3 linked regions of the Canis lupus familiaris genome follow. The main gene of each other region encodes a partner of the protein of the gene in region 2 in a complex. Links are inferred from orthologs where the notes say so. Each region holds a gene or a part of one and is shown on either strand. Other genes may lie near its edges. The genes, in order: SHISA6, DLG4 and CRIPT.

Region 1 (3,641 bases), about 3.5 Mb from region 2:
TGGGAAAGTGGATCCGAGGATTCCGTGGCCTCTGTCCTATGGGAAAGTGATTCCAAGATTCTGTGGCTTCTATTCGATTTGTAGGCAGATGGATTCAGGCCACCATAAAGAACAAACACAGGGGCTTCCCATCCTCTTCTTCCAAGCTATACCTCATTCTTTATTCTCAGCACTCCACGTCTGTCCCCTCAGGTGCAGAGCAGGAGAGAAAAACATAGGATGATGCCACAGAGGGCCCAGAGGCAAAGCCCAAGCCCGAGAAACCCCCACTTACTTAGCCTCTTCAGGGATGAATATTTGCTGGGGTGGGTCTTCACTGCTGACTCATAGGATGGGGGTAGGTGGGCCAAGTTCTGGAAGGAGCGGGAGAAAGAGAGGTCATAGGGCTCCGTGGCCGATGTCAGGATGTTGTTCATCCGTGGCTTCTCTGCAAAAGAAGGGAGGGGTGCATGGCATTAGCCAGGACAAAGGGCAGGCAGGGCCAAGGAAGGTCCAGATTCTATCTCTCCTCATCCTGCTTTCCTGGCCCCCCCGCCACTGTGCTAGAACACAGGTGGTGCTGGTGACTCAGTTTCCCTCATACCCAGTTCCAGTTGTCTACAAGCCTAGTGGCAGGTGCTGTTTTAGCCATGCTGGGGAGTTGCCCTTCCTTTAATGGCAAACTCCTCTGTATCTGATGAAGACGTATGCCTGATAGAGCTGAGGGGGGTCATAAAATTGTCTACTTTGGTGTGAAAGTTCCATCTTTTACCTCCTAGCTCTCAGGTTCAGAAAAATCTGAATTTGAAATAGGTAGAGTGACTGGTCTTGTCCACAGACCCATAGACCTGGGTCTAGGACCCCAGCTCCACTGAGACTCCATCCCACATGGCCCATGATGTCATTCTATCCCTCACATCACCGCTTCTGCCTTAGACCTCCCCAAGCCCTGAGCCCCACAAGTCACTGTGAGCTCCAGAGCCATTTCTTCCTCCTCCAAGCCCTCCCCCTGAAGGCCCCTTGGCTATCTCTGAGCCACTGGAGGAAAGAATGTAGACAAAATGCTTAGCACATAATTTCCTTTTTCTCCCTCCTTCCCTTGAGCTAGAACCCTGAGATTCCAAAATCTGAAGAGAGAGAAGGGAGTGTATTCAATGCCAGACTGGAGGGGGGGGAGGACGGGGGGGAGTAGTGGAAGAGAAGATGTGCAGGTGATGAGGTGGATGAATAATGAGGTGAATGAGCTGAGCTGGGCTCTGTGGTTGGGGCAAGAGAGGAGATGCAGGTATGGGCAAGGGAGTGGTTGAGAAGGAAGGAAGCAAGCAGGCCTTGCTGCTTGATTGACTTGCTGTGTGTCAGCAAGATGTCAACAGGTACTGCTGGAGAAACAGTGGTACCATTCCCCAATATGAGGCAGGCAGGTGGCTCTCTCATTGTCCCTCCCTCCTCTTTGGTTTGGGACCCCCAAGAAGGGCCAGGCTGTGGCTCCCCTGCCTCTTGGCAAAGAGAATGCCAAACTCTGGAAGTCAGGGATTCTGTGAAGTAGGAGACAACGAGGAGCACCGCTAGACTCGGTCCAAGGGCAGCCTTGCTACAGGGAACTCCCAGCTTCTCTATCCTTCCTGCCTTCACTGGTCCCCCCAAATACTGGAGATGAAGCTAGGGGAGCCCAGCCAATAAGCTGGTGTTCATGCCAGCTTGGTACATATGTGAGGGGGTGAGGGACGCTCTACATCCCCGAGAGATCAGAACATGCTGTACAGAAGAGCCTCCCTGGCATGGATCGGGACAGATGCCAGGAAGTGGAGTGGGCAGGAAGCTGGGAGCACTGCTATCGGAGCTGGGTAACAGCCACTAGTCCCCTAGCTCTCGTTTCTTCACTTTTGGTGATGCTGGGGAGGATGATGCTCCCCTCTCCCTGTTGGTATCATATTCCCACTGAGGGCACAGCTCAGGTCACCTGCATCCAAACGCAACATTTCTGGATGCTCTTACCAACCCCCACTTCGCCCTCCCCACTGTTCTTCAGCTCATGCTGCTGAGCCAAGGCCAGCTCTTTTTTGTCTTCTGCCTCCACCATGACTACCCCTGTCTTCTTGTTCATGCGCTCTCTCCTAGTGCCATGCCCTTCCTTACTCATCTTCTGTCCAAATTCTCTCTTCGCTCAAGACTCTTCGCTATGGCAATGTCACATCTTCTCAGCCCGTGGTGATATCTGGTCTTCAAGCCCCTATTGCTTTTCCAGGCAATCCCACCCAGTTGAGTGCCTATGTGATCTCTAATCATTTGACTTGAGCCAGTCTTGTTGATCGCCAAAGATGGCCATATCCTTGACAGCAAAAACTTGCTTTCTAATTGGTCTGATGCCTCCATAGTGTTTGGCCCTTAATAAGGATCCAATTAATGCTCTTTGGTTAATCAAGTTGACACAGGACACATTCCCCTTTAATAGTCACTCTGCTAGCTCCTGGGGGAAAGTGTAGCCTCCAAGAAACAGATACAGAGAAAACTCTGCTTCTACCAGGCTGTGAGTTGCTCAAGGTCAGGGACTAGATCTATCTACCCTCAGCTCCTTGTAACAGGTGGAAAAAGAAGACAGGGAGAGGAACAGGGAAGAATGGCTCTTCCTTCTGTCCTCAGGAGGCTGTGCTTGTGTTGGCCACTTCTGGAGAAAACCAGCTGCTACTTATCCTTCCAGAATGTTCAGGAGCAAGCAGAGCACTCCTCGCTTGCCTCTTCTGGCTCCTCTTCCTGCTGCTGCGTCATCACCATGGGCATCCCCCAGGCTCTCGGCTTCTGCCTTCTGCTTTTCTCTTTCAGCCTTCTCACACAAAATGGGCCCCCCCCCAACTCCCAGGGCATCTGTTCCTGCTTCCAAAGCATAACTTACATCTTCAGCCGTAACCTGACTCCAGACTGCATGTCTGCATTTCTAGCTGCCTGCTGAGTCATTTTTCTTAACTACCCTATGGTCCCCTCCAGCTTTAGAGGTCCAGATCCAAATTCACCGTTGACAGCTTCCTCTCCTCTATGCCCTAGCTGCCTTCCTACCTCTTCAGATTGCGTCCCAAAGAACCCCCACTCTTCTCATTGATCATAGCTTGGCATTTTATTCACAGTTGACTCTCATCAGCCATATTCAGCGAGTCACTACTCCACCACGTTTCATATCTGAACCTTCTGTCTTTTCCTATCGTCCACATCATTGCTGGTAACCTGCTGCTTCTTAACTGATCTACAATGTCTTCCAGTTCTGGTTTATCCCAGATCCCGCAACCGGAAATGGCTTATTAAACTATCGCTTTCATCACAAATTTCCACTAGGAGCCTAGTCCTAGAGGGGGGGGCCATGAGAATAGTCCAGTTCTGTCCTAATTATGATGCTCAACACCTCAATGCTGACGCAGAGCATGATCTCCCAGGAGAGTGGTCAATCTCTCTGCCAAGCGAGCTGCAGATTTTATCTTTGAGTTTCTTTCTCACTAAAATTTAATGATGTTTTCACTCCTTCAGAGCAAAGACAGAAGGATGACTGATAGCTCGTAATTTACATGGCTGTCTTATGTTATACCAAGTTTCAAGCAGGTACCAAAAATAGTTTTCCTCTGCAGTTCCAGATGTTAAAGTTGCAATCTGGCAGGAGGAGGTTATGAGAAGGAAGC
Region 2 (4,406 bases):
CTGGGTGAATTCTGTGGCCCGGAGGGATATCATATAGTTTGGTATTTTGTTGGGAAAGGTGTTATGTACTGGGAACAGAGCCATGTTTTTTGTTTTGAAAGATGCAAATATTGGCACAGTCAACATCACACAGGCCCCCCCTTAACTGACAAACCTAAACCCTAGGTCACATGAGGAAGGCGCTTAATCAGCAATGTTGGAATAGCCTGCGATGCTGGCAGTGACCAGGGCTCCCTCACCTGGGTGTTACAGAGGCCCACACCACCCAGCTCGCTGGGTACTTGCAGACCAAAGGCCCCCAGCTCCTTGAGGCCTTGCAGTGTGGTCTCCTCCACCTTCTCCAACGTGTCATTCTTGGCAGGATCGTTCACTTCCTGGAGAAGGCACAGGATGTCGCATCCAGGTTCCTTTCTGGCTGCTGAACACCTCTGCCATCCCATCAGGGACCAAAGCCCTCTGTTCCCCCACCCCAGTCCTTCCTCACCTCAAAGAAACGGGACACAGGCCCCACCAGTTCTTTGAGAAACTGGGTCTGCTCCTCACTGAGTACTGTGGGGGAGAAGGACAGGCTGGTCAGGTCACCGGGGAAGTGGAGAGGCCCTGCCCTGCCCCGCCCCGACGACTACTTACCAGATGGGTAAGGGAACACCTGATCGGTGGTGAGCTGACCCTTGAACATCCCCGCAGCAAAGGACTTGGATTCCTGCTCAGGGAGAAGGGGGTTTCAGCGAGCTGTCTGCTGCAGTGGGTGAGCCCCTGGCCTAGGTCCTCCCGGTATGGAGGCCACGTACCGCCTTGGCCTGCTTCTCTCTGGTCGGAGCCTCAGAGGAGTGGGAATCTGACTTCTCCAGAACCGCCTGGGGAAAGGGACAGTTAGCGAGGCCCGGTAAGGGACTCCCGAGGAGCTGGAGACCACGGGAAGCGCTGGGTGCGGGCGGAGGCGGACGCAGCGACCTTTCCCCTACTTCCATCGTCAGGGCACCCTGGCCTGCCCTTTCCCCTACTTTCGGCGCTACCGCGGGCGCCAGGTGTCCGGGACGGAGAGGGAGACCCCTGCCGGCGGCGGGGAAGGGGGAGCCGAGGCGGACTCCGCCTCCCGCTCTGCGCGCCCCAGGCCGCCGTCACTCACCTGAGCGGCCCCACTGGCATAGGGTCGGCAGGCCGGACCGGGCAGGGGCTGCCCCAGGAGCGCGCTGGGCCGCGAGCTGTGGGGAGCGGGGGCTCAGTCCGGGTCCCCGGTCCCGCTGCCACCCCGGCCCTGCCCTCCTGTCCGACTCGCACCTTCCGACCCCCAGCCTCCGCAGCTGCCGCCCCACGCTCGGGGCCATCCGTGCCGCCTGCATCTCCCAACCACTCCGGTCGCCGCGGTCCTGAGCGCAGATCTAGCGCCGTCCACCCGTCTGCCAAAGACTGGCTGCCCTGGTCCGGTCTTGACTCATCGTCCACAATGCACCGGGGGGGCTGGGCTTCCGGCCGCCAGCGCATGCTGGGAGATGTAGTTCCGGGGCGGGGCCTCCCCCACCCCGCCCCTGCATTCTGGTTAACGTAGGGCTATCTCCAGACGTTTCCGTCTCTCCCAAACGCCTTCGTCCCACCCGGCCCAGCTCGAGTGTAGCCCTCGGAAGGGGCGATGGGATAGGCTGGGGTGGAAGGAGGAGCAGCTCAGGCTTTTGCAGCCGGAGGGATGGAGGGTGGGCCAACAGGAGGACTTCCCCGGTGGAGTTGGAAGGGAGAGGTGGGAGAAAAAAAATGTAAGACGGCGGAAGCAGGGGCAGATGACTCTATGGAGTCCCTTGTGAAACCCATCTCCATCAACACGAGAGGGAGGGACATGGTGGCGTGGGGCGGCCCAGGTATATTCTCCTGAGACCTGAGGTGTCACTAACTTTAGAAACACCTGAATTCTCACCGTAGGGCCCTCCCCTCCCTTCCCCTCTGCAAATTCACCGCCTCCCCATTGGGGCGCTGGAGTCTCTGCCCTTGTTTCCTCCTGAGACTGTGTGACATCCTGGACTCTTCCCAGGGGGAGTGGAACTGTAGGGATTCTTCTGTCGCCCACTCTCACCACACACACCTAGCTCTGGGTCAAGGAGTCCCAGGTCATGTATAGGTCATGTATACCCCTGCCCTGCTGACACACCCAGTGGGGAGAGGCCTGGGCTGGGGCTGCAGGAGCCTCCTTGGGGACACCCCTCCACCCCCACCCCCGTCCCCAGTGCCCAGTCCCTCTGGAAAGTGCAGCAAACTCACCCCTGGCTTTGGGAAGAGAGACCATTGTGCCAGGCGACCCAGGGGGTTAGGACAGGACTGCCCACTTCGGTGGCTAAAGGCTAAAGGCTGGAACCTGGTGGGGAGGCAGCTCAGCTCCAACCCTGGGGATTAGGGAGATTAAAATCAGAGAAGAGAGATGTCCGAGAGACCCAGAGGTGAAACTGGAGAGTCCCATGGAGGAAAGGCCTGGGGGCGGAGCCGAGTGGGGCTGGGACTTGAGGACCCTCCTGCTGATCCTTCCCCACCCCACTTAAGCCCAGGGAGAGGGGACAGGCTAGGGGAGGTGAGTGAGCCGCGCCTTGGTCCATGGGTCTCTTCCCCATCCCATTCCTCCCTCGCTTGCATTTCACCAGCTCCCCGGTCAGCCCTCTGGCTCCTGGCCCCCCCACTGTTGCGATGGGCGCCCCCTCTCTTGGCTGTCCTGCACAGTGACCTCTTCCAGGCCCTGCTGGGTGAGTAGCCCTGATTCTCTGGGGACGCTGGGGTGCGAAGGGCTGGCCTGGGCCTGCCAGGGCAGTGAACACACTTGGGGGACTGTCCGGTTGGCAGCCAGGAGGCCCTAAGGTGCCAGCAGCAGTCAGGGCAGGGGTGGGGGCAGGGGAGCCCCCCCAGGTGGGGTGGGGGAGGGTAACTCAGCTGTATTCTGGTGACAGACATCCTGGACTATTATGAGGCTTCCATCTCAGAGAGCCAGGTAAGGGGGTGAGGTGGGGCGCCTCCCCAGAGGGGCAGACAGGGCAGGGGCCGAGCTGCCGCCCCACCCTTGGGGGCCTTGAAGACAGACTTCTGAGCCCGGGGTGCAGAGAATCCCAGACTCCACGGTCCTGTTGGTCCCTTTCCCCTTCTGCTTCCCCGCCCCCCTCCTCCCTTGGCCCCAATTTCGGGCATAAGGAGTCCAGCACAGAATTACTTCTCATCCTTCCTCCTGTGCAGCCTGAGGGAGAGCTGCCCCCCCACCGGACTCCCCCCTGCCTGCCCCCCCAGACCCCCCCTCCCGCCAGCCAGCACTGCAACTAGCATGGGTGCTGCCAGCCCCACAGCGGGTGCTTCCTCTCCTGAGACCCAGGAGGCCTCCTGATCTCTGGCGCTGGTGCCTGGCCAGGCCTCCATCTTTGCCTTGGGGCCTGTCTGCCTCCGCTCTGCTCTCCTCTCCCATTATCCGGGTTCCTGCCAGCACTGAAGCAGTTAACTCTGCCAAGGCACCCCCCCATCCTCGCTCCTCGCTCCCTCCCTCCCTCCCCCTGCTTCCTCTCTCCTCCTCTCTCCCCTTCCCTCCTCGGCTCCACGGCTCCCTCGGCCGCTGCCGCCTCCAACCCCCCCACCCCACTCCCCCGCCGCGGCCCTAGCCCCTGGCCGGCAGGCAAGACCCCCCCCCTACCCCGGGGCTCCCTGAAATCCAGTTCCCCTCCCCCACCCAGCTCATGCCCCAGCCCCCGAACTCCGGGGCTGCCAGCCCCCGGTGCCCCCGCCCCTCCTGAGAATCGGGGTGTGCTCCCCAGGCCCCCTCCCCTCCACTGGGGACTCCCTTCTAGGGCCCCCTTCCCCTCCCTCCCACGCACCCCTCCCCTTCCCTTCTCCAACCCCCTCTTTCCCCTCTCACCCCTCCCCCCATCCTGGCCCCCCCTGCAAAAGTGGGGTGCGGAGGGGGGAGGGGTGAGAACCCACAGAGGGGAGGAACGAAACTCCGATGAAGTCAGAGCCCCTTACCCGCCGCCGCGGCCAGCCCCCCCAACATGGACTGTCTCTGTATAGTGACAACCAAGGTAAGCACGATAGGGGGGCTCTCAACTGGGGGGAGGGTATGAGTTTGTGGGGAGGGGTTAGGCAGGCCTGATCTGGGGCTGGGGGCTGGGAGTGTACTGGGGGGTCATGATTTACTTTGGGGGTTCACATTTGAGATCATGCTAGGTTTGGCCACAGGTGCCCCCTGGAGTGATCTCTTTGTACCTGTAGAGAAATGGAAAATTTGGGCTGTTTTGTGGTTTGGGGGGGCTGATGGGTTTTGGGGTTCACCAATGATGTTTGAGGGAGACTTATTTAAGGAGAAGCCTGGCTCACATGGGAGTCCTGCTCTTGTGCATTAGAAGGTGGACTGTGTGAGGGGGGGTTCTCTTCCCTCCTGAGGGACAAACTGG
Region 3 (4,141 bases), on a different chromosome or scaffold from region 2:
GCAGGACAGTTTAAGGAGAGAAGAGGCAAAAGCAGAGAGAGCACAGTTTGAAGAGAAAGGAGCTGGGAGGGGATCACATTAGTTTAACTCAAGAGTGATGGGGACCTCAGGTAGGTTATTTAAGGGGTAAATGAGAGGCTAGGGAAAATATGAGCTATTGAATGGAAGTAACAATAGCAGGACAGGCAAGTGTTTGGATGCAGGTTGACAAAGGGATACCAGAACGAATGAGCGATGAATAAGGCTTTATGAATGGGTGACTGGGAGGACTGCCATGCCATTAAATGATGGAAGAGAAGTTACAGATTTATAAAGTAGGATGACAAATTCAGTCTTGGAAGTACTATACTACTATGTAACAACCAGATGAAGGGTCCCAGTATTGTCTGGAGAAATTTCTTCTATTGGTCTTGGTATAGAGAGAAGTCGGCTGGAGATGTGGATTAGACATTCACTGGCATGGATAAACTACTTGAAGCCAGATATTTCCAAAACAAAGAGTCAAAAGAAGGGCAGATGTCGATCACTGGGAAATATCTACTTTAAGGGAGAGGGAGAATAAGAAAACTTGGAGATTATAATGGTAAAGAAGAAGAGAAGTAAATTCAAAGAGAATCTAGATCAAGTTTCAAAGTCACAGAGAAGCAGAAAGGGACTGAAAGAAAGGTCTTTGAATTAAGAGTCTATTTTTATTTGGGGAATAAGATGGTACAGAAGGTAGAAAGGTACTAGAGCAAAGAAATAATACAGACTTTCAGAAGTGCAGAGAAGTAAAAAGCAAATGACCTTTATGACATATATCACGTCCCAGAGCCAAACTATGTGTATTTTAACATCACATCCGATCTTGGCTTCTCAAAATTTTTATGTGCCTTAGGAAATTACCTCTCAGAATTTGCCCAGTATCCTCAATTTTCCTGGGAAAAAAGCACTTATGGTGTAAAGAACATCACACAAAACAAGTTAAGCCCGTCAGAATGCCAGGCCTCTAAAGTTAAAATGTACCGAATTAACACAAATTACAAAGAAGGCTAATTTACATGTTTAGGAACTACCCTACATAAGAGAAAAGACATGGAGAAGGTGCATAACCTAAATATATGTAAGACATAGTTACTCAAACAAGCAAAACCAAAAAACCTCATAAGTATTGGATGGAGTAGAGTTAAAAGGACGTCAATGTCAAACAGCTTAATGTACTTTTTGGAGCAATGAAAATATTCTAAAATTGATTGTGGTGATGGTCGCACAACCCTGTGAATACGCTAAAAATAACAGAATGGCACATTTTAAATGGGTGACTTCTACCTATGCCAATTGGTAGAACTGCAATAATTTTTTAAAAGCTTCATGTGAGATGATGATGTAAAGCATAGAAAAATGAAAATATCAGTCCCACTCTACTCCTCATAAAATGGAGCAGAGTTTAATGCTGAGTGCCACATACTGGGAGTTATGATAGGAATAACCAGTTTTTGAGTATACACTAAGGCACTTTTATATCAGGCTTTACCTGCATTATCTAATTCTCACAAAACCCCATAAATTATGTATTATTCTCATTTTTCAGAGGAGAAAACTGGAGCCAAGAAATATTAGGTAATTCACCATGGTTATTCCTTTACATAATGTAAAACCTGTGATTCAAACTCATGGGTGCCTGTGTTTAAAGGTTTATCTACTGGGGGGGAGGGGAGAATATAAACAGAATTGATCAAGTTAATGTTAATCCAGATAAGAGGACTTGAAATCTTGTTAAGAAAAGTCTAGCCTGAGGAAAAAGAGACTTAGGGATATGAGAGCCGTTTTAAAACATATAGACAGTCTGTGACATCAAAGAAATCCTAAGATACTTTCCAGAAACATCAAGGGTTTGCATTAGAATCACTGCCTGGCAACTGTAGGGATGAAGGATCTTTTCTTTTCTTCTTTCTTTCTTTCTTTCTTTCTTTCTTCTTTTTTTCTTTTCTTTTCAGATTTTATTTATTTATTCATGAGAGACACACAGAGAGAGCCGTAGAGACACAGGCAGAGGGAGAAGCAGACTCCATGCGGGGAGCCCGATGTGGGACCCCAGGTCACGCCCCGGGCTGAAGGTGACACTAAACCGCTGGGCCACCCGGGCTGCCCAAGAAGGAACTTTCTAAAAGCCAGTGGCATCTACGCAGACTGTTTTGAAGGTAGTGAGGCTTTCTGAACCCTGCCTCAAGACCTCAGATATTCATGCAAAGAACATTTAAGTCAACATTTAAGGATGCTAACTTCGGGTTGCTCGTTAAAATACAGGATGCCCTGTTCAATTTAAATTTCAAATAAACAATGAATGGTGTTTTAGTATTGTCATGTCCTAAAGGTAAGCCCAAAGCACTTTCAGTACTAAGAAGCTGCGAGCAAAGACAAGTCTCAAATATCGCATGGGATATACTTCTAAAAAAAGTATTCATTTTTAAAATGTCTGCTATATCTGGAAACTCTGGGTGTTGTAAAAATGACTTTTAAGATCCATTCCAATGCTGAGGGTCTGTGAGGCTAAGGAGCCAGTCAAGAGCTGTATGGGATGAAATCCCGGGGTGGGGCTGGGGGAGGCAAAGGAAATAGACAAATCAGTACAAAACTGAGAACACTCCGAATGCAAAACCAATGGGAACGGTGAAAGGGATAAAGGACAAAGGCTGGAATCAGAGACTTGTGGCCGAAAGAAAAGACAAAGAAAAGGCGAAGTCCCCGGAGAACTCCTGCTAGCTTCTCCTGGCCTCCTCCCAAAGAGTCAGCCCCTTAACTCACATTTTTCGCACACCATCCTTCCCCGACGGTTCCCCCGGCCGCAGAAACAGCAGCAGCTCGAGAATGTCAACACAACAGCCGGGGCAGACGTCCCCTTCCGGGTTACGAAAATCCGCTTCCGGCCGCCCCGCCCTCCGCCCCGCCCACCGCCCCGCCCACCCCACACCTGAGAGGCCGTGGGAGGCGGGGCTTCTCCCATTGCCCGCCCCTCCGCTCCTGCAATTGGCTGTGCCGCCTTGGGTCTCCGCCCCACAGGCTTGCGCCTGCGCGTTGGCCAGGGCGGCGAGTCGTACCTGATGGTGGGAGGTGGTAGCTCGCGCTCCTCTTCCGCTGGCGGGAGAGTTAGGTAAGCCCAGCGGCGCCCGCCCGGCACGCGAGCCTCCCGGGGTGCCAGCGGCCCCCACCCACTGCCCACGTGGCCGCGAGCGTCTGTGCCCCCGGCCCGCTGGCGCCCGCCGCCCGCCCGAGGGCCACCCTTCCGGCGTGACCCGGGGGCAGCCCCGATGGACCCGGCCCTCGGATCCGTCCCTGTGTGTGGCGCCCTCCGTTCGTCTCGGTCTCCGCGCCCGTGCCCTTTTGCTTATGCCTCTCAGCGCGGCCCCGCCCCCGTTCACACTGGCGCGGGGTGAGGCTCGGGCAGAGTCCCGAGCGGCCGAGGTTGGCGGGGGGCTGCAGGGGCAGGTGCCGCGGGTTGCGCGGGTAAGCTCCGCAGCCTCCGGGGCGGTGGGCGCGGGCCGGGTCCGACCGCGGGGGCGGGGGCGGGGGCGCGGGCGCTGGCCGCCGGGGTGTGCTCGCCAGGGCCCACCCCCGCGGCTGCTTTCGCGGGGGGGCAGACCTTTGGCCCACCCTCTTCTCCTCGTTCGTTCGTTCATTCATTCAGTAAGCAGTTGGGTGCTGCTCCGTGTATTAGAGCCTCATCTGCCCATATCACTTGGGATTCTGAGAGCGGCCCAGAAACATACCCGAAGGGATAGTCCGCTCAGACGGTGTATTCCGGATCCTGCGCCCCTGCCCCTTGGTCAGCGGATCTGCCAGAGAGGTTTCCTTCCTCCCTTCTTGCTCTTCATCCCCTTCTCGGCCCCTGGAGTGTAGATTTATGTCAAAGAGGCGAGGGTTTGACGTGGCTATAGTGCTTGGGAGCTTGGGACCTTGGACATGTCTCCCAACGTGCCTTAGCCTGTTTCCTTATCAGTAGAATATTTGCCTTGGAAAATTATAATGTGAACTAGATCAGAGCTGTAAAGATAAGGCCTTGACTTGCCCTTTTGTTTTTCTGGAATATTCAACCACAGTGTAACATGGGTAACATGTGGACTGTTACTTTGATATTAGCCAGTACTATGTATAAGCTCTGCGT

The links.
Region 1: DLG4 (region 2) and SHISA6 share a complex: the UniProt entries of both Homo sapiens proteins name them as parts of the postsynaptic hippocampal AMPA-type glutamate receptor (AMPAR) complex. The link is inferred for Canis lupus familiaris from reciprocal best matches to the Homo sapiens genes DLG4 and SHISA6.
Region 3: the proteins of DLG4 (region 2) and CRIPT are in contact, whole or in part, in a crystal structure (PDB 5HED), measured with the Rattus norvegicus proteins. The link is inferred for Canis lupus familiaris from reciprocal best matches to the Homo sapiens genes DLG4 and CRIPT. Residues at the interface, in NP_062567.1 of Rattus norvegicus: Gly322, Leu323, Gly324, Phe325, Asn326, Ile327, Val328, Gly329, Gly330, Glu331, Asp332, Glu334, Ser339, His372, Glu373, Ala376, Leu379, Lys380, Arg399, Phe400; in NP_063972.1 of Rattus norvegicus: Lys94, Asn95, Tyr96, Lys97, Gln98, Ser100, Val101.

Annotation. Positions count from the first base shown.
Region 1 is NC_049226.1:35,907,807-35,911,447, reverse strand, and holds part of SHISA6 (protein shisa-6), read right to left. Parts: intron 428-3,641; coding exon 275-427; intron 1-274. UniProt on the Homo sapiens protein: Involved in maintenance of high-frequency synaptic transmission at hippocampal CA3-CA1 synapses.
Region 2 is NC_049226.1:32,393,017-32,397,422, reverse strand, and holds the start of DLG4 (disks large homolog 4), read left to right. Parts: upstream 1-1,558; 5' UTR 1,559-1,684; coding exon 1,685-1,853; intron 1,854-2,528; exon of another isoform or gene 2,529-2,624; coding exon 2,625-2,723; intron 2,724-2,924; coding exon 2,925-2,965; intron 2,966-3,847; exon of another isoform or gene 3,848-4,004; coding exon of another isoform or gene 4,005-4,034; intron 4,035-4,406. Other genes in the region: ACADVL (very long-chain specific acyl-CoA dehydrogenase, mitochondrial), read right to left, coding at 240-374, 485-549, 631-703, 792-857, 1,130-1,205, 1,282-1,343. UniProt on the Homo sapiens protein: Postsynaptic scaffolding protein that plays a critical role in synaptogenesis and synaptic plasticity by providing a platform for the postsynaptic clustering of crucial synaptic proteins.
Region 3 is NC_049231.1:49,891,197-49,895,337, reverse strand, and holds the start of CRIPT (cysteine-rich PDZ-binding protein), read right to left. Parts: upstream 2,911-4,141; 5' UTR 2,801-2,910; coding exon 2,785-2,800; intron 1-2,784. UniProt on the Homo sapiens protein: As a component of the minor spliceosome, involved in the splicing of U12-type introns in pre-mRNAs. Involved in the cytoskeletal anchoring of DLG4 in excitatory synapses.